Linked DNA regions of Astyanax mexicanus. The protein of the gene in region 1 binds, or shares a complex with, the protein of each later gene. Links are inferred from orthologs where the notes say so. Each region holds a gene or a part of one and is shown on either strand. Other genes may lie near its edges.

Region 1 (10,478 bases):
TTAAGCATGTAATTAACAGCAACAAAGTCAGTTTTTCTCTTCATACACAAGACCATTTATTTGAAAAATGTTGATAAATGTCTTTTCCTTATTTACATAGACCTATTCATAATCTGTAATATATTCATAATATGGCACTGTTCTGCAAAAATGCCACTTGGATAAACAGAGCATTATATTTATTGGGGAGAAGCTTATGTTTTAAATTCAACAATGACTTTTTATTGGAAAATGTGTCAGGCATTTCCTCAGCAATTCACATGTGTACAACCATTCAGCCAGTTATCAAGTTCAACCATTCAACCATTTCTGTATAAAATATGATCTGGAATAGATTATTTTAAATAGTGTCATGGCATGGATTTAGTCAAAAGCAAAATCCAGCAGAAGTAACCATGAGGTAAATTAGCTAATTAATGAGTATTTAAAGATTCTCATTGGCTTTGTGTTTTATCACTTGCTCATTTAAGCACTAAAAATTCTGTTTCACACTAAAGAGCTATCTAGCCTGACACCACATTTTGCCATGACAGTCATGACAGTCAAGGGAAATGTCATTAAACAGTTTACAGTAGTGATTTCTATGAATCCGGCCCTTTAATAAACTCTGACTTGGAGGCTTAGCTTAATTTACATACCTTTACAGTGTGCTTGTTTATGTGTCTCACGATGATCAATCTGCCTCTCCAGGTTTGCCTGTAATTCTGCGACTGAAGAGGAGAGAAATGTCCTTGTGCACAAGGTGGATGGGAAGCTGTGCCTTAGGACTTGTAAAGATTTGAGCCCAGGAACGGAACTCCTGGTGTGGCCAGAGCAGAATAATGATCTGTCTCAAACTGTGAAGCTAGAAAAACCCTGCAAAGAGAGCACACCATGTGGGCTGACTGAGGATAAAACCACATGCCCTGGCCCAATGGAACAAGACTCAAAAAGGGAATGTGAAGGTTCGTGCACAGTAGCTTTTAGAGGGACATGGCTTTTGGGTTTAATTTAACTTTGACTGTGTAAGCAAGGCAGCCATTAAGAAAATGCATTAAATTGGCCCATGAAATTGTGTGTTTAATTTAAAGACCATATTATGCCTCAGGCCTCACACACCTCTACATTTTGTTTTATACTGTGTTATATTGAAAGTATTTTTCATAGCAAATTATACAGAGTGCCACTCCTTAGTCACAGTGCCTGAGGACATTATTCACCGCATACTAGTGTGTGTTTTGTATTATTTTAATATATATATTTTTTTACCACAATTGGAGATTGCCTACCTGATGGATGCACGAAAGGATGAATTGCAATGAGAGCAGCCTCACTGAAAAATGAGTATGGCCTTGCTACATCACCAAGTAACTTGCTACATCATCCCAGCATCACACATAGGACATCAAAGATATTTTAAACAAGAAGGAAAAGCTTATAAAGGAATTATCTGTACCTACAGATATAAGGCCAATTTATACTTCTTGCAGCTACACTGCAGGCAACGCGTTAACTCAACGCAGAAGTATAAACCAGCCATTACATTATAATGGGATCAAACTAATAATAGAACTGCTAAATAAAAAATGGCCTACTTCCATCTACATTGTTCGTTTGCTTCAATTTCATTTTAAAAACTTTGCAGACATGTCCACAAGTTGCCAGCCAAAAAAAGTGGACATGTACCATAAGGCCGTGCCATAGTTGCCGTTTGACTAATTAGAATTAGTTTTGCTGTGTTGCTAAATCAGCACCAGGAAATGTACTGATTTCAGAGTTAGAAAAGAGCATGCTAGAAAGTTAGCTATGGATCTTGTAGCACAAGGTGACAGACAAATGTGGGGCCAGTCAGCAGATTTCATCATTAGGCCTTTCCAGTGGACGGTTGTTTTGCCCCAAGTATGGTAAGCTAGACACAGTAAAATAAAAAAAAGTTAAGCTCAGCCCAGTTTGTAGGAGTTCTATATGAAAAAGCCACTGGAATAGTTAACCTTCTCCATGCATAGACTTTTTGTCTATGTAGTGGAAAAGAGGCCTAGGCAAACCTTTCAGAACTGCTGTTAAGAGACGGAGAAAACATTTAAAAGAACAGTTCATAGAATTCTCCATGAATCGTAAAGAAACGGATCTTTTGTTCCCCTCCTAAGTTCAGACTGACGTTTTAACATGTATCACATATGCTTCGTGTATTTCACAGAATCAGTGGTGAAGGACCCTACTGACAACTCAGAAGAGGCTCAGAAAACAACACATCCTAACATTCAGAGGAAGAGGCCACTAATCTCAAGTGTAAAAAATAATCCTGTGCGCTCCTCTCAAACCGTGGAAACTGGTAATCTGGGACAGACTGCTTTGGATGACAAAACAGACAATGACCAGCAAGAAGCAGAGGATAAATCTAGTCCTGGGGTGCTGTGCAGCATCCGAGAATCCAATTCTCAGGAACAGCTTAAAGGAGCTGAGAGAGCCAGCCCTCGCCTGGCAGCTAAACCTCGCAAAGTCCACTCGCTAAGCAGGTGCATGCACAGGCGACAGCAAGCAAAGCTGACAAATGCGGCTTCTGCCTGTGTTGATAAAAAGATGCTGACTACAGAAACTAGCACTGGAAGTGGATCAGCTCTGGGAGAAAAAATCCTCACTGAAAATTCTAACTCTGATGAGAAGCAATCTGGTCTGGTATGGATAGAAAAGGAGGGTTCACCAGAACTCTTACGGTTCAGCCCACGAGAGCGGAACTACAAGTGTGACCTGTGTGCTAAAAGTTTCTTTCAGCTGTGTCACCTAAAGAAGCACAAGTTCACGCACTCCGAGCTGAAGCCTTATGCTTGCACAGAGTGCGACAAAACCTACAGCTCCCAGGAGAGTTACCGTGCACATTTGCTTATGCACCGTGGACAACGGCCTTTTAAGTGCCAGCAGTGTGACAGAAGCTACGGGCTCAAACGTGACCTCAAGGAGCACCAGGTGCTTCATACGGGTGAAAAACCCTTTGTTTGCGATGTTTGTGGCAAGGCTTTCGCACGCCGGCCTTCGCTGCGAATCCACAAGGAAATCCACAGAGCCAAAGAAGCGGACTACCAAGCACCAAAGATCAAATGCACTAAGTGTGGCAAAGAGCTGGCAAACCGGAGCTCCCTGAGGAATCACATGCGATTGCACACAGGCGAGCGGCCGTACGTCTGCTCCGACTGCGGCAAGAGCTTCCGCCAGCGCGGCAATCTGCAAAGCCACCTGCGCATTCACACTGGAGAAAAGCCATACAGGTGCAAGCACTGCGACCAAACCTTCTCGCAGGTGCCGGAGCTGCGTCGGCACCTCATTTCCCACACAGGTGAGGCATACCTGTGCCCAGTGTGTGGCAAGGCACTGCGCGACCCTCACACCTTGCGAGCCCATGAGCGCCTACACACTGGCGAAAGGCCTTACAAGTGCGAGCAGTGCGGAAAAGGGTACACGTTGGCCACTAAGCTGCGCAGGCATATGAAGTCCCACCTGGATGAGAAGCCACACAAGTGCGAGACATGTGGAACCAGATTTACGCTTATGCAGAGTCTACAGCGCCACCTACAGTCCCACCAGAAAATAACTAAGAAAGGACATGCAGCGCCAGCCAGGGGTAGACCTAAAAAGATGACTCCTAAAAAGAGAGGTGGACAGTCAGGTCATTGTCAAGGCAAGAAGAAAAAAGAAGAAGAGGAAGGTGTGGTTTATGTGCAAGCCCTAGCAGAGAACTGCAGAGAAGGTGCTGAAGTTTTTGAAGAAGGGCCAGAACAAATTGAGCTTAGTGAGGACATTGTAGAAATTGTTGTTTCAAATGGCAGCAACAAGTGTATCATGGTTCAGGAACTGGAAGCTAATGCTAAGTGCATTGTTTTACGGGAGGATGAAGAGAATAAGAAATGCATAATTGTACAAGAAGAGATTAATAATAATAGTACCCTGGTCATTATGCAGGACCATGATGATCCTAACTCAGTGGCAGAAACTGTTGAAATCGATTCAGCCACCCAAGACTGAACATGTTAAGCTCATTGTGACTATTAGTGTGTCATTTGATTTGAAGGTTATTTTGCAGTGGTAACATCTGCGTTAGAGACATCAGTAAATATTGACTTATCTGCCCACTGGACCTTGTCATCACTGTTTGTTCCAGATCTGAACAGGCACACTGCTGGTAACGAATATGTCAGGAACATGCTGATTATTGGTGATACTGTTATCTTATTATGAGTCAAATCATGTTTAAATTATATTTTTTAAGAAAAAATAACAATGATGAAATATTAAATTAGAGCTGGGGTGAAATATCATGATTAATATATTATGTCACAGTATTTAAAGTAGAGCTGGAGCCAAGAGATTTTGTCATATAGGTATACATTTTCTTATTGTATTGACAATATGCTTTTTTAAAGCATATCGAGGATATCATCAGTGGTTAAAGAGCATTGAGAAAAATGTGCATTACATTACAGAGAAACAACCCAGTTTGATTGGATGTAAAACTCTGTGTATTGTGAAAGTCTAGTATCATGGTATAATATTTTTTACCAAATAATCAGCGCTTGATTATTTACACCACGGGTGGTGGAATTTATACTGTTAATATTGATATCAGAATTATATCGCATTATAGAAATGAAGAAATTTAATGTGATATCAAGTAATTTAAAGACATTTTCAAAACATGCAACATTTATCACATCATTTGTCCCTATGTTTTGTCACAAAGACAAAAAGCATCAACATTGTCAGATTCTTGTATGTTAAATAACATTAAACAAATTGCAAATTCTTTCCATCTCTTCCTTGTGTGTAGTCCTTGTTTTACTGTAATGATGCTGCTGAAATCTAAATTTCCCTGAGGAAATCTTCCCAAGTGGATCCATAAAGATCTATCTATCAAGTACTGTTTCATGCATAGTAAAGTAATGTTTTTTTTTTTTGCTGGACAACATTTAAAACTAGTACAGTTGGGTCATTGTTCTTTGTCCTCTTCTTTTAAAAAGCCCAAAAAAAGTCAGACGATAAGAAATGCAATGAAATATTTTCATATTGCCCAACTCTATATTAACGTTTTATTTGAATTCCTATCTGAATTAACTGCTTATTGATGCAGCTTGAAACAGTCTAAGTACCACAGATCTTCAAGATGTGGTGGAGTCAGTAAAGAACATAGGCAGTGGATGATTTTAGAGTTGGATGGAGTTTTAGGGAGTCATGGAATTTTTGAAAACATTTCATTTGTCAAAGCTTAAATTGCTGCACCACCCACTGCACTGTCCACTGTGAATAATAATTCTTCATATGACATAATCCAGGTACACATATGACACTTTGGATTGAGAAATATTATGTCCCATCCATCTGGCACACACTATCAGGCCTCGCTCCAACACCAGTTATTCACATTGGCCATATTGCCATGAGCTCGATGGCCACTGCTCACTCTCACAAGATAACACCTCACAGCGTATACAGATGTGTGCATTCCCAAGCTGTCCACTGATATAATACTTTACATTTAATTTACATACTGCTATTCTATGATTTCATACAAATATAAGTCCATTTTGTTTAGGAAAATGACTGGTGACTGGTTTAGTATTATTATTTCATTCATATCATATTATGGGTTGATAATGAATGTTCCTAAGTGTCCTTAGATATTTCTAGAACATCAGGGCTGAATCATGAATCAGTGATCAGAGTGATATGAGCTTGCACACAATCTCTGTTTTCTGTTCTCTTTGAACTCCACTGGTTCAATATTAACTCGAGGGCAGCAGTGGAAGGTTTTTGGGGGCTTGCTAGCAGCTCTGTGGCTTTGTCTCCAGTGATGTTCCAGGTCTTTTCAGGATTCCAGTAGTCCCTGTAAAAGAATGGGAGCAGTACCAGCACCGATCCTTGTCACACTTCTTCTCAGCCAAGTGCTCCAGCTTACACTGTGCTATGATGGTGAGAAACCCATGTTAATACTTTTGGTATCAAATATATTGTATGTAAAATGGTGTGTCTATAGAGTTAATAGGTTTGTGGAGGTAGACGGTTAATCTTGTGTACGTTTTTGTCAGTTTTTATCGATAGTAAGAGGGCTTCTCAGGTTATCCGAGTAAGGAGAGCAAACACACTCTTAGAGGAGCTGAAGCAGGGAAATCTGGAGCGAGAGTGTGTGGAGGAGATCTGTAGCAATGAGGAGGCTCGAGAGGTGTTTGAGATAAGTGACAAAACGGTAAGGACTGCTGAATTCTGCTACATGATGTGACGTATGTAATCCTGTTTAAATTAAATACTTCTCAACATAACATTTGTAAGGTCACTTTCCCAGACAGGGATTTAATTAGTCTTAGACTAAGCCTTTCAAAAATATGTAGTCTACAACTTAATCCTCAAGCTTAATCCTTGTGGGAAAATTGCCTGTGTGTGGACACCATTATTGTTTACTGTCTTGTTTATTGCATTCATCGACATACCATTCCAGAAAGTGGTAGATTAATTTTGTTTTATTTAAACATTTTGTAAAATGGTTTCTCTTTCTTTTAGGTTCAGTTTTGGGAGAAATACTTAGGTAAGGCATTACACCACAAACTTCCCAGTAGGCAGCAAAGTCAGCAGTGACCACATTTTGAAATGTAAATATACATTATTGAACCAGGAGCAAAGTGCAGTGTTCCCCAGTGTTTTTTTTTCCTTCTGAGTAATTACCAAATCAAAGTCCTAAACTGGACTTTATTTAATCTAAGGGTTTCTAATGTCAGTCAAGAACAATACAAAAACGCAGTGTACTATTAGGCTTCCTGAGCATTTGTTAGTTGCAGTATTCCTTTAATGTGTGTGTATATTAGTTCCAGGCCAGTGATAATAAGCTATTGAAAAATGACACAGAAATGACAGAAATGTTATGTAAGGAACACTTTATATAAATAATGTTTATATTTCATAAAATTGAATGAAAATAAAGAAGTTTAATCTCATTACCATCTTTTTTATGGTTTTGTTAGCTTTAACTGTTTCTGGAACAATGTGATGGCAATAGTGAAAGTTCAGGAAACTCATTAAAACAGGGCAAGCATAAACATACCGTGATTATCTCAACACTGTTTAGATCTATTTTGTACTGCTTTCTTCCACAGCTTGTGATGGCAACACTTTGAAGAGGACTCCAGACAATATTTCGAAAGTAAGAACGTGTGTGAATAAAAAAGGTAAGGGCAACATTTCATAAAAAAAAATGCACCCATTGTATACAGATGGTTGTTATTCCCAGTTTGACCAGCCTGTTTTATAAGATTTAGAGATGGATTCAGCGTACAGCACATAATCTATGTTAAATTAATATATAAATAAATTAATTTCCTGTGGAGAATGAAAAGAGTATATTAGTATAAATAACTGTGTCAAAATATTAGTTCACACTTACATGTATGTAAAAAATGTAAACTCTGCATTCTGTAGTTTGTTTGTGGTGAGGACATGATTCGTCCTTGATTCAAACAACTACCAATGTTGCTGCAATTAAACTGTACAGATATACACTAGTCCAGAACACGCGAACCACGTTCCAGACTATTTACATAAACTATTTTCTAGATGGTTTTGACTTTTAGACCACAAATAGGAGGTCAAGGAAAGCTATATTTATCCATTCAACAACAGAAAAAGATCATAAACGATAATACAACAAAAATACAAGAATCAAAGGGAAATATATCTGTTAAGCTTATACTGCTGTATGAAACGTGCACACAATGGGAAGATGAGTCTGGGGAGATGCAGTCTGTGTATCAAATACATCAACATTGATTTGGAATCTGGTGTGAAGATGCTCTGAGATAAAGAAACATTGATGCTCTAAAATCTATAAAGGCAACTTCTACTACTTCAGTTAGTAGAGCCGTGTATTCATATATGTGTTGATCATTGTGTGCTGTACAGATCACTGCTATCTCAACACTGGTGAGCACTACAGTGGTGATGTTAACCTCACTATATCTGGAAAGACTTGTCAATACTGGAAAAGCAACTTCCCCCACAGAATCATGTATGTATAATTATTTCTCTAGACCTCTTGAGCTTCACAGCTGTAGTTGTCATTGATAAAACATGGAAATAGTATTCAAGGCATAAAGACTTGTATGTTTGAAAAACAGATTATATTTTCATTTCAAATTAAAGGTCAAAATGATTTGAGAAAACTGGAAGTGTGAAACAGTTTTTGATCCATTTTAATGCATTGTTTTTCCATTCCAGTGAGATTAATCAAACACAGCTGAAACTTCCTGAGAACTTCTGCAGGAATCCAGACAAGAGCCCTACTGGACCCTGGTGCTTCACCAGCGACCCCACTGTCAGGAGGGAGAAATGTGCAGTGGCAAAATGTGGTACTGACCTTAAAGCATGCTTCACTCAAAGCACTGAACACCCCAAACATAGATAATATAGCAAACTGTGAAGGGCTTCATCTGTTTCTTATATTAAGCTCAGTCTTGAGGCATTAAGTATATCAGTAGTTAGTCTTAGTCTAGAGTTTTCATTGAGAATTTTATTTAATAAATAATAAAACATTTAGTAATATTATATTTAAGTTCCTTTATTGGTTTTATAGCAGCCAGTGATGTTTTGAAACTTAATATTATGCTGCTTTCCATTTACCGTTTACTGTATTGGGATGTATAGCTAAAAATGACCTTACACCCTGGTTGACTGGGTTCCAATTAAACCTTTAGATAATTTCTATTTCAAAGACTTTGGTGTAGAAGTTAAACAGTACTGTGTGTACAATTGATAAAATGTGAGACAACTACTGTAGATACACAGTTCTGGAAAACATTAAGAGACCACTTTAGTTTCTGAATCAGTTTATCTGATTTTGCTATTTATAGGTATATGTTTGTGTAAAATGAACATTGTTGTTTTATTCTAAAAACTATAGAAAACATTTCTCCTAAATTCCAAATAAAATATTGTCAATTTGTTTGAAGAAAATAAGAAAGGACTAAAATAACAAAAAAGATGCAGAACTTTCAGATCTCAAATAATGCAAAGAAAACAAGTTCACATTTATAAAGTTTTAAGAGTTCAGAAAAGTTTTCATGCATCTTGGCATGTTCTCCTCCACACTGCTTTAGGATAACTTTATGCCACTCCTGGTGCAAAAACTTAGCTTGTGATCATCCATCTTCCTCTTGATTTAATTAGGTAAATCAAAGAAACTCATAATTTTTAAGTGGTCTCTTATTTTTTTCTTATTTTTATTAGAGCAGGAAAACTTTTGGGGACATCCAGGTATAGATGTAGCTTAATTAGATAGAATGTAGCTTAATTTCTGTCACAGCTTGGAAAGAAAACATGTTGTAGGTTTTATGTAATTTGCACATTTTTATTGTATTTTTTATTTTGTTGACTATTATTATTTAGTTTTTGGCTTTAGTTTTAGTATTTTTTTATTTAGTATTAAACATATTTACATCTCCTGTAAATACACTTAAAAACCATTGAAAAGAACATTTCTGTCAGTTGGATTTGTTTCTGTGATTTTGTGCAATAAACCATAACTTTAGTCTATAAGTTCAACCAGTAGAAGTGGTATATTTCAGCTGTTCCCCTGTTCCGCAGGAGAGACCTTGCAGCCAGTTCCAACCGTCAAAGTGGGGACTATAGAGGAGCGCTATGCTAAGACCAAATGTATTGCTGGCAATGGAGAAACTTACACTGGAGATCTGTCTGTGACTCTGGGTGGCCACACCTGCCTGGAGTGGAACTTGCCTAAGGTGAAGGCTTTGAGTGTGGGGAAGGAGTTCAAACCAGATATACAACTAGTGAAGAACCACTGCAGGAACCCCGATGGAGATCTGGAGGGACCATGGTGCTATGTGAAGAGTGCTGCTGGAACCATCACTGTCGATTACTGTAACCTAGAGCTATGTGGTGAGCAATGGTACTGATAAAAGTGCTTTTATTACTGGTGATCACAACAAGAAGGTACACCAAATTAATGCTGTCCATTTTCTCAAATTAACCTCACACCCATTTTTTTATATTGCAGTGTGATGCAGATGTATAACCCTGGCTTGTGTCTTGCTATGATTATTTAAAAAATGCATATTACACTAAATACACTGCAAATGTCTACTAAAATATTAAATTAAAATATTAACATTTTTTTACTTCTCAAACAAGATGTCTTCTCTCTTGTCTTTAAGATGCTCCCTTGGTAGGGATGGTAGAACAGGACTCTGATCGGAAGAGGACCACTACAGAGAAAAGAACTGCTTTCTTTAGCCCTCGCAGCTTCGGCCAAGGAGAAGAAGGTAAAAATTTTAGCAATAGCAGGAGGTGTATTTATTCTCAGTTCACTATTTTTTAGAAGGGCCCACCCGGTATTTAAAAGTACTGGTCACTTTTCTGTCCATGTAAGTATAACCTGATATTAAGTTCATGACATTTGTTTCTGTTCCTTAAAATTTGCATGTCAACATACTAGATGCAAGGTTAAGGCC
Region 2 (10,321 bases), on another chromosome or scaffold:
CGTTTATCTGTTTGTATAAAATCAGATTTCCACAGCTGGGAAAGAAAAAGTCCTTAAATGTTGCTGACATATTACATATACACTGTTTACATAATACAGAATAAACACAGTTAACATTTAAATATAGGCAAGTTCCAAGTTCTTGGCCCAGCCTGCTGGCCCTGTAGACGAGCTTCCGTTACACTTTCATTAAGAACGAGTTGAGTGTGTTTGCACAGACAATTCTAGCCAGATGCCGCCGGTCACAATCATTACAACCCACTGCTCTGCTCTGTCCACTGTGGGTGGTATAAACTTTGATAAACTCCAATAAATCACAACACTTTGCCGTGAGAATGCTGAAATTATTGGTTTTGTAAAGAATACAAAGCTTTTAACTAAAAAAGATAAAACAGTGATGTCCCAGTTTTCTGCAAGAACAAAGCTTTGCACTGGAGCTACAAGGCTTATGTAGCTAACCAGCAATAGAAGCTTATGGACAGCAGGTAGCATCCTGCTGCAGACTGCTTTAGTGCTATCCCCTTTTCACAGGTCTTCTCTTTTTGGATTGAAGAAATGGAGGATTTGAAAAAAAAAAACAGACAGAATATCCTATCTTGAATTGCCTAAAATCTGAGTCTGAGATTTGATTTGTATTATTTTTTGACATTTGCTTTTGATATAATAAGTGCACCTCAGGTCAAAGTTGACCCATATTTCTCCTGTCCATAATATGGTCCAAAATCCATCGTCCAGCTCAGGCCGCAAGCTTACTGTACTGCCCACCTGCGTTGCTTTTGAATGTGTCCAGTTTGCTGGACCTGGTGGACTGCGAGCTGTCCGTCGCCCCGGCTGCCGCCTCGCTCCTCCACCTGCTCCTTCCCGTGAAGAAGTCGAGCGCCACCTTGTGACAGCGTGACGAACCGAAATAGTACAGCAGGGGGTCGAGGCTGCAGCTTGCACTGCCTGCACACATGGCCAGCAGGTAGGCGGCGTAGGAGGAGTCGGCCAGACCTCGTGCCGCGTGCACCGAGTGCATCACAAGGATCACGTTAGCTGGAGTGAAGCACACTGCAAACACCACGAACACCGTAGCCGCCATAAGCACGGCTCGGTGGCGCTTAGCTCGCTTGGCTACGCCGCAGAGAACTCGGATGATGCGGTAGTAGCATGTGGCACTGAGGAGGAAAGGGATGAAGAAGAAGACCGAGACAAAGATGGGGAAGAAGTAGACGTAGTAGGAACGAAGCTGGCGAACATCCAACACGTCGTGGCAGGTGGTGATCTCCAACATGGCCACCCGCAGTGTCTGCTGGGACAAGAGTAAAGGGAAGACCCCTGCACTCGAGAGCAGCCAGGAGGCAGCGCACACGGCCCACGCGTTACGAGGCGTGCGCCAGATGAGCGAGTCTGTTGGGTAGACGACGGCGGCGAGGCGGTCCACGCTGATGGCGGTCACCAGGAGCACTGAGCAGTACATGTTGCAGTAGAAAGCCGCGGTGACCAGGCGGCACAGCCCCTCCCCGAACTGCCAGTCGTGGCCCCCGTAGTGGTAGGAGATGCGGAAGGGTAGCAGGAGAGCGAACAGCAAGTCGGCGCACGCCAGGTTCATCATGTAGATGGCTGCAGGCTTTTTGGGACGCACCCGACGCACAAAGGCCACGAGTGCCAGCAGGTTAAGGGGCACGCTGGTAAGGAAGACCAGGGTGTAGATGGTGGGCACGAAAACTGTAGCCAGACGACTCTGGAGAAACACTGAGGCCTCTTTAGAGATATAGTAGCGTCCTTTGGCCACTGGGAGGTGCTGCTCACGTTCCAGGCCCATACCAGACCCACTGCCTTCCTGCACATCCAGATATTCAAAGGGCTCATCAGTGACAGTCAGGAAGAAGCCTGAGAAGGTCCTCACGATGCTGTGGGTGCCTGAGAGGAGTGCAAGAAGAGACAAGAGATAACAGTTAGACACGATGTGAGGAAATGAGATATGAAGACACCATAAACAAAAGCAGTTCTGGAGGAAAAGACTGTGCAGGCTGCAATACAGAGATCTGCCCTTTTAAAATAGTGCAGTTCCTTACAGTATGAGTATAATAATGGTAATAGAGACTTTTCAGTGCATTTATGATATTGATAAAAATAATAATAATACAGCCCGCACAATATCAATATCCACATAATTATAATACAGTCTGTAAAATATCCAAAATATTATAATACAGCCCGCACAGTATTTACATTATTATAATACAGCCCACACAATATTCACATTATTATACTACAGCCCACACAGTATTAATATCCGCATTATTATAGTACAGTCCACACAATATCCACATTATTATAGTACAGCCTGTAAAATATCCACATTATTATAGTACAGCCCGCACAATATCAATATCCACATAATTATAATACAGTCTGTAAAATATCCAAAATATTATAATACAGCCCACACAATATTCACATTATTATAATACAGCCTGCACAATATCAATATCCACATTATTATAGTACAGTCCACACAATATCCACATTATTATAGTACAGCCCACACAAATAATTTGGAATCAGTAACGTTAATCAAGCGGTACCTCGGCAGAAAACGCATGACGTGAACTCACGCGACTAGAGAGAAACTGTAGTCCAAACAACAATAAACGTGCGCGAGAGACTAATAATAGCGATTAGTGAATCCCCTCAGCTGTACATCACTTCCCTACACTCATATAGAGATAACAGGAGGAAGAGAAGAATCAGAGCTTTGTTCTGAGGCTGAGAAACAGATACAGATCCACAGAGGCTGTAGAGACTCAAAACTACAAAACACCGCTCGCAGAGGTGATGGGTTTTAGAAAACTCCGCCTATTATCAGCAGGAGACGCTTGGCGTCAGCAGCAGCCCAACGCAACAACAACTGGCCAGCGTCCAGCTGAGCGGCGGCACAGCGGAATACAGCGCGGTGTACCGCGTTCAGTGTGTAAGAACCTTTACAATCCAATTTATCATGCATTCTTTATTCCAGCACCCTACTTTTATTTTATCTCCCCTCAAACATACAAGTATATACTATTATTTTAATTGACACCACTAATATACAGTAATTGCATTTTACATTTTTTACATTCACTCTTTTATTTGCATTTACATATCAACTATAAAAATATAATATATTAAAAAAAAAAAAATATATATATATATATATATATTAGTGATGTCAATCGATTAAAAATGTATATATATATATATATATATATATATATATATATATATATATATATATATATATATATCCTTTTTAAAATAGTACAGCCCATACATTAACTTCATTAACAATACAGGCCTTAAAGTGTTCTTTCAATTCAGTACCCTTATTATGTTACAGCCCATACAATATTTTCTTTTGACAGACCCACTTTGTTCTTTTTTTTATTAGTTCAGGCCTTACAATATCCTTATTGTTTTAGCACATAATTTCTAGCACAGTATTTATTTTTAAACAGTACAGTGCATTACATACATTAACTTCACTAACAGTACATGTTAGTGACCTTACAGTACAGCCTTTTTATACCAGTACCTATTTTATAGCATTGTTATAATATGTTCCTGTTATCCACATCTAAGTGCAATTCCATGCTTTAGAATCATTCAAAACTTTTGTTTTGTTTCCTCCCTCCAGATGTTTCATATTTAAACTGCAATAATAAATACAGCTCTACAGTAGGATTTGTTAACTCACCGTTGTCCGGCATCATTGCTGCTGTAGTTCCCAAAGCCAGCAGGACCACTGCAATAAAGCTACGCACAATCACAGCCATGTTAAACGCTCAGCACTCTGTAAACTAAAGTAAACTAAGCTCAGCTCAGAAACTGCAGAAGAAGCAGCTGCTCCTGAAGATTCAGAGTCAGACAGCACACGCAGTCCCACACACTCATTCTTCCCTCACTGCTGGAGTGACTGAGCGGGAACATCCCCTCCCCTCGGCTTTTGGTTACATGTGAACGCCCACATGTTGAACTCAGAACTGAAAACAGGCATTAAACACCCCCATTCTCAAAAATAATAGAAAGTTAACACATGTATTTTTTTATGTTATTTATTTAATTATTTCAGTTCAGCTGTTACATCACCCGTACATTCTTTTAAAAGCTCTACCCAATGCTCCTTATTATTAGATCATTTAAAATATGCACACAGCTTAATCACGTATGAATGGAAGGCACTAGTCGAAAAACAGATTTTTCTGTGGCTTTAATATATTTTTTGGCTTTCCCCATAAATTGTTCAGAAGCAGAGGCAGTAGTGCTTGAATAGTGAAATTCATTCATTTTAAGTCTTAATTGTTCCCTGTTTTTTCTTTCTTTTTGTACAGTGACATCATAACAGTGGTCCACATACAGTACTAACTATATATAAAATATATAATTCAATTATAATACCATTTAAAAATATAATTCATGTACAATTACCGCGTGGAAAACAAACATAAACGAGTTATAAGCCTTCATTGGTAAAGTTGTGCTAAAAGGTTTTTGGTACAATTTAATTGCGATTCTAATCAACACCAATCAGCAGTCAGAGTCAATCAGAGTGCTTAAGCTTCTCTATATGTACAGCTTTAATATGTGGACTCTTAATATGCAGCAAATATCTTATAATTAAATACTCAAAATCTCCATTAACAACAACTGAAATCCCAGAATTCCCAGTTCCGCAGGCTTTTTTTTAAATATAAAACCAGCTTAACCTGAAGGCCTGAAGGCACACACTATTCTCTCACTGTGCATTATATATCAAAGACTTAGTATTAGCATTAGTTCACGTTCCCAAGTGTACAGGCGCTCATCTCAGTAAATGCGTACGGAATTCTGAAACGCAATTCACTTTCCGTAAAACTTCTTGTTCAGCAGGAATATGAGGAGGTTGACATTGACTTTGGCCTTGTCGAACATTTTCATGACAGCGACTCCCTCATACTGAAGCTGTAGAAGATCCTGGAGGAGAAAAAAATAAACGTCAGTTTTCAGCTAAATAAGTAAAAAGATTAAATGTTTCCTCCAAGGTTTAAGCAGCGACAGCAGCAATGTGTGTGTATCAGTGTACTGCTATTTACAGAGCAGGCAGGGAGTGAGGGAGAGAGCCAGCAGGGAGAGCTGAGAAACATCAGGTTTAAGTTTGTTTTTACACTCTTACACTAACCACATGCATTAGGTCAATAAAGCCTTCAGCTTCAATTCTCTCACTTGGTATCAGCTTACTCAGTGTCCTATCTCTTCACAAACTGTCTCTTCTTCAGCTGAAAAGTACAAGCTGTATAGGACTAGGATAATAACATTAGCATTGCATGAATCTGGTTGACTGCATTTCTCTGTATAAATTTCATTCATATATGTGACTTGAGTAGCACTGCTAAAGATTTTTGAATTTTGATTAGAATAGCACCGCTAAGGTAAATGTATGACTAAGGTTGCAATGACAGCAAGCTAAATATGTGACTAGAATAGCAGTGCATCTTTAAAAATTAGAATATCATAGAAAAGTTTATTTATTTCAGATTCAAAATGTAAAACTCAAATATAGATGTATTACGCACAGAGTGATCTATTTTAAGCTTTATTTGTTTTATTGTTGATGCTTATGACTTGCAGCCAATAAATACCCAACAATCAGTCTCTCTAGAATATTATATAAGCCATCACTGATTGGTGGAAACTTCACACAAGACCTCGAGCAGTTTGGACTGTGTGTCTCTCCACTCTTCCTCAAGACTCTGATCTCTTGATTTCCAAAGGAAATGTAAAATTTACTGATGATCAGTGATGGTTTGGAGAGACATGTCATCTGCTGGTGTTGGTCCACTGTGTTTTATTATCAAGTCTAAAGTCAGTGCAGTGTTTTCCCAGAAAATCTTACAGCACTTCATGCTTCCCTCTGCTAACAACTTTTATGGAGATGTGGATTTCATTTTCCAGCTGGACCAATTGGTCTTATGTAATATTGTATTTTTCTGAGATATTGATTTTGGGTTTTCATTAAGTATAAGCCATAATCATCAACAATAAAATAATTAAGTAAATATTGATCACTCTTTGTGTAATATATCTATATGAGTTTTGAACGGAAGTCACATTTTGAATTGAATTACCTAAAAAAAGTAACTTTTCAATGCACTAGTATGTGATTTGTTGGGTTGTTTGGGTTAAATATTTTCATTGGACAGTTATTATTTTTAAATGATAGTTTTGTAATTGCTCTTTCTTAGGAAAACAACACAAAATACATTAAGAATTAGTTTATTCAATAATAAAATAAATGGTGCATGACTAACGTAGTTAGTTACATACAGGATTTTATGGAACACAAGAAGTGGATTTAAAAGTATGATGCTATAAGTTTGAAATGATTCCACTGAATCTGTTTTTATGGGAAATGTTCAGATGAAAAAATTATCTGTTCGGTGTGATTTACCTGGAAATGCAGTTGGACTTTTTCCATCTCCACTCCCAAAAACTTGGCCTTTATTTCAAAATCCCCAACTTCTTCACAGGGTATGATGTCAAACATGACATTTTTGAGCCTGAAATCAAGATAAAGAAAAGTTAGGGCACAATCTGACATGAAGTCGGAAATACAGAAAAAAGAATATCCAGGAATTGTCTTGGTTAAAACAATATTGAAGAGAATGTCGACTAGAGAGAAAAACTAGACTAGACTTCAGCTGCCTAACTTCTGTTGATATGTTTTTGTCAGCTCTTAACAAAAATAAACAGAATAACTGATAAAATAGTGATAAATATACCACTGCAGGGCCTTTAGCTTGTTAACTGAGAGAGAGCAGGCCATCCATCGTACATGCTAAGCACAGATAATGCAGGCGCAATGCTTTAGATCCCTTCCCTCCATTTCCACTGTATTACGTCAAGTCTTCTTATCAGTGATACACATGCAAAGAGCGGCTCTGCACTTGGAAAGCTCCCTTTGGCCTGGAGTAGAAAGACCAAAATAGGATATATAACTGCTCATAATGAGCCACCTTCCCTCCGGTCTCACCCCTGAACGGCGCTGAGCCAGCACTCCACTCACATCAAAGTGATTAGCTGCTGCTCCCACCATTCTGTGATCAGTCTCTGATGTTCCCTTCATATCGTTCAGTTTGGCACTGAAGTGTCAAGTAATGAAGTACAAATGCTTTTTTACCCTACTTAAGTAGAAATGTTGGTCAATATCAATACTTTACTGGAATAATTCAAACAAATATATGTTACTCTTTCTACTCTTTCTACTCCTATTTCATTTCAGCTTGTTTTCATTCCGGCTTCTTAGTGTTCAAAATTACCCCATCCAGATAAATCTCTCTATCCAGATAGACTGAATCTGATTGTGGTTGGATATTGAGAAGCATATATCATTCTGACACCCTATTGGTTTATAAGAGTCCACTTTAAAATGATGAGTTTCTTTGATTTTACCAAATTGAAAACCTCTGGAATCTAATCAAGAGGAAGATGGATGATCACAAACCATCAAATTAAGCTGAACTGCTTGAATCTTTGTACCAGGAGTGGCATAAAGTTATCCAAAAGCAGTGTGTAAGACTGGTGGAGGAGATATATTTTTTAGGGGATTTTGGGAGAAATGTCTGTAGTTTATAGAATAAAACAACAATATTCATTTTACTCAAACATATACCTATAAATAGCAAAAAAAAGAAAAGAAAAGATGATTCAGAAACTGAAATGGTCTTTTCATTTTTTTCAGAGCTGTATGTAGTCGAGTATGAAGGTGATCCGTCACTCAAGAGTCTCATTTTATATATTTGCTTTGTACTGAAATACAATTCAGTACAATACAAATACAGTACAATTTTCAATGGTGGTATATGCAGCTGAAACTGGGAGCCTAGTGCATCCCAAATTTTTCAACATTAACATTTTAATACAATATTGCAGTCATTATGCCTTTTAGAAAAATGTATTTTTTGTCTTAATGACATTTTTCCCCTTACATTACTTTTACTTTTATACTATAAGCAGTACTTTTACACTTTTACTTAAGAGTAAAAAGCTTATGTTGAGCTATTTTAAACTCTACTATTTATACTTCTACCGACAGAGTAATAATTCTAAATACTTAATACTTTTGGCACAGAGTTGATGAAACTGATCTGAGTGAGCCAGATCATGTTGTTATTATTGAGTGTTATAAACACAGTAGCTGGCCTACATCAAACATGAGTGGGAATTCTGGGAGTGGGAGTCTTTCTGGAATGTTATTTCACACTGGACTAAATCATAGATGGAGGCGCTTGCATTAATATGAGCTCAGTTTACCTCATTAAAAACTTTGGGCACAATTTTTGGTGAACTAAGCATGCTTTTTTTTCATAAAATATGTGAATCTTAAACATAAAGGAATCTTCATTTCCTCAAAAAAAAACACCATACAGTGGCTTTCAGAAATATTCATACCCCTTGAACTTTTTCACATTTGGTCATCTTACAACCACAAACATATATACAAACATAGAGATTTTAAATGATAGGCCAAAACAAAATAGCACATAAGTAAGAAGTGGAATGTTTTCTCATTTTTAATCAAACATCTAAATATCTAAGTGTGATATGCAAAAGTATTCAGCCCCCTATATCAATGCTTAGTAGAGCCACCTTTCACTGCAATTACAGCTGCAAGTCTTTTGATGTTTGTCTCTACCAGATTTGGGCATCTAGAGACTGAGATTTTTGCCCCATTCTTTTTTCCAAAAAAGCTGTGAACAGCAATCTTCAGAACTTTCATGTCTTGCCACAGGCGCTTAATGGAATTTAGGTCAGGATGTTGACTGGGACATTTAAATACATAAATGTTCTTAGAGCTTAACCATTTCACTGTAGCTTTGGCTGTAAGTTTAGGGTCATTGTCTTGCTGGAAGGTGACTCTCCTTTCCAATCTCTTGTCATCAAATGCAAGTAAATCATTATAGCAATGCTGCACAATGCAGTAGAAAGCCTTTTTCCATGGATGTAGAGAGAAGTTACTGCAACAAAAGCAGGATATACTATTTGTAATACCCTAGTTTTTAGAAGAAAAAATTGTATGAGCTGATTTTCCAATACTGTTGTCCATTTGTACAGGGGTTGGACAATGAAACTGAAACACCTGGTTTTAGGCCACAATAATTTATTGTCCCGATGGACAGTTCTGGTGGAAACAGGAGAGTTGAGGTGCACATTAAACTCTGCCGTGATTTGAGTAGCCGTGGTTTTATGTTTTTTGGATACAATCCGGGTTAGCACCCGAACATCCCTTTCAGACAGCTTCCTCTTACAGCGTCCACAGTTAATCCTGTTGGATGTGGTTGGTCCTTCTTGGTGGTATGCTGACATTACCCTGGATACCGTGGCTCTTGATGCATCACAAAGACTTGCTGTCTTGGTCACAGATACGCCAGCAAGATGTGCACCAACAATTTGTCCTCTTTTGAACTCTGGTATGTCACCCATAATGTTGTGTGCATTGCAATATTTTGAACAGAACTGTGCTCTTACCCTGCTAATTGAACCTTCACACTCTGCTCTTACTGGTGCAATGTGCAATTCATGACCATTGGCTACCAGGCTGGTCCAATTTAGCCATGAAACTTCCCACACTAAAATGACAGGTGTTTCAGGTTTATTGTCCAACCCCAGTATCTACTGTACATAAAAACTTACTGATTGGTCTGAAGGCCTTCAATCTCCAGAATGACTCCTTTCTCGTGCAGTCGGGCAGCTGTGTACTTCAAAGCCTGCTGCTTAGACTTCTTGCTTCCCTTCTCTTCGCCTTTTTTGTCAAGTTTGATCGATCTGCGAGCGTTCCTGTGAAAATAAGATGTGTAATGTTGTCAAGGTGACCAAAAACAAAGGTTTTATTTGTGGCGATTTGAGTGGTGCTGCTGAGGATGCCCCACAGGTGCTTAACTGGGTTAAGGTCTAGAGACATACTTGCCCAGTCCATCACATTTCCTTTTAGCTTGCTCTGCCAGGCAGAGCACTTATGTTAAGATATTGTATATGTTGTCCTACATAAGGTACTGAAGTTTTAAGTTTTATTAAGTTATAAGTTATAATATTGTGTTTTTAGCAGGGTTAGAATTGGGTTACAGCAAGTATTGTGTGGGCCAGACATGGACCAAACATCATGAGCTGGGCTAAAATTGGGTTATAGCACGTTTTGTGTTGGGAGGCCAGACATGGTTTGTTGGGGCAGCACTAGAATCTAAGACTGATCTATTTCAACATTGTGTCCACTCACTTTCTGTTGAGGTTGTCCAGGCAGGTTTTAATATATGTGTCGTAGTAGTTG

Evidence for each region. Proteins that work in one complex are often made in the same cells at the same time.
Region 2: the proteins of f2 (region 1) and f2r are in contact, whole or in part, in a crystal structure (PDB 3LU9), measured with the Homo sapiens proteins. The link is inferred for Astyanax mexicanus from reciprocal best matches to the Homo sapiens genes F2 and F2R. Residues at the interface, in NP_000497.1 of Homo sapiens: Phe382, Arg383, Pro386, Gln387, Glu388, Leu389, Leu390, Cys391, His406, Cys407, Tyr410, Trp413, Lys415, Leu423, Arg425, Arg431, Thr432, Arg433, Tyr434, Ile441, Met443, Glu457, Asn458, Leu459, Asn506, Thr510, Lys517, Gly518, Gln519, Arg541; in NP_001983.2 of Homo sapiens: Ala33, Thr34, Asn35, Thr37, Leu38, Asp39, Pro40, Arg41, Ser42, Phe43, Leu44, Leu45, Arg46, Asn47, Pro48, Asp50, Lys51, Tyr52, Glu53, Pro54, Phe55, Trp56.

What each region holds. Positions count from the first base shown.
Region 1 is NC_064430.1:14,446,674-14,457,151, forward strand, and holds the start of f2 (prothrombin), read left to right. Parts: upstream 1-5,763; 5' UTR 5,764-5,861; coding exon 5,862-5,937; intron 5,938-6,053; coding exon 6,054-6,211; intron 6,212-6,522; coding exon 6,523-6,547; intron 6,548-7,112; coding exon 7,113-7,184; intron 7,185-7,914; coding exon 7,915-8,020; intron 8,021-8,229; coding exon 8,230-8,360; intron 8,361-9,594; coding exon 9,595-9,906; intron 9,907-10,181; coding exon 10,182-10,289; intron 10,290-10,478. Other genes in the region: znf408 (zinc finger protein 408), read left to right, coding at 691-944, 2,177-3,996. UniProt on the Homo sapiens protein: Thrombin, which cleaves bonds after Arg and Lys, converts fibrinogen to fibrin and activates factors V, VII, VIII, XIII, and, in complex with thrombomodulin, protein C. Functions in blood homeostasis, inflammation and wound healing.
Region 2 is NC_064429.1:20,551,922-20,562,242, reverse strand, and holds f2r (proteinase-activated receptor 1), read right to left. Parts: upstream 3,958-10,321; 5' UTR 3,798-3,957; coding exon 3,719-3,797; intron 1,903-3,718; coding exon 737-1,902; 3' UTR 339-736; downstream 1-338. Other genes in the region: ras GTPase-activating-like protein IQGAP2, read right to left, coding at 4,861-4,974, 6,449-6,557, 9,691-9,834, 10,271-10,321. UniProt on the Homo sapiens protein: High affinity receptor that binds the activated thrombin, leading to calcium release from intracellular stores.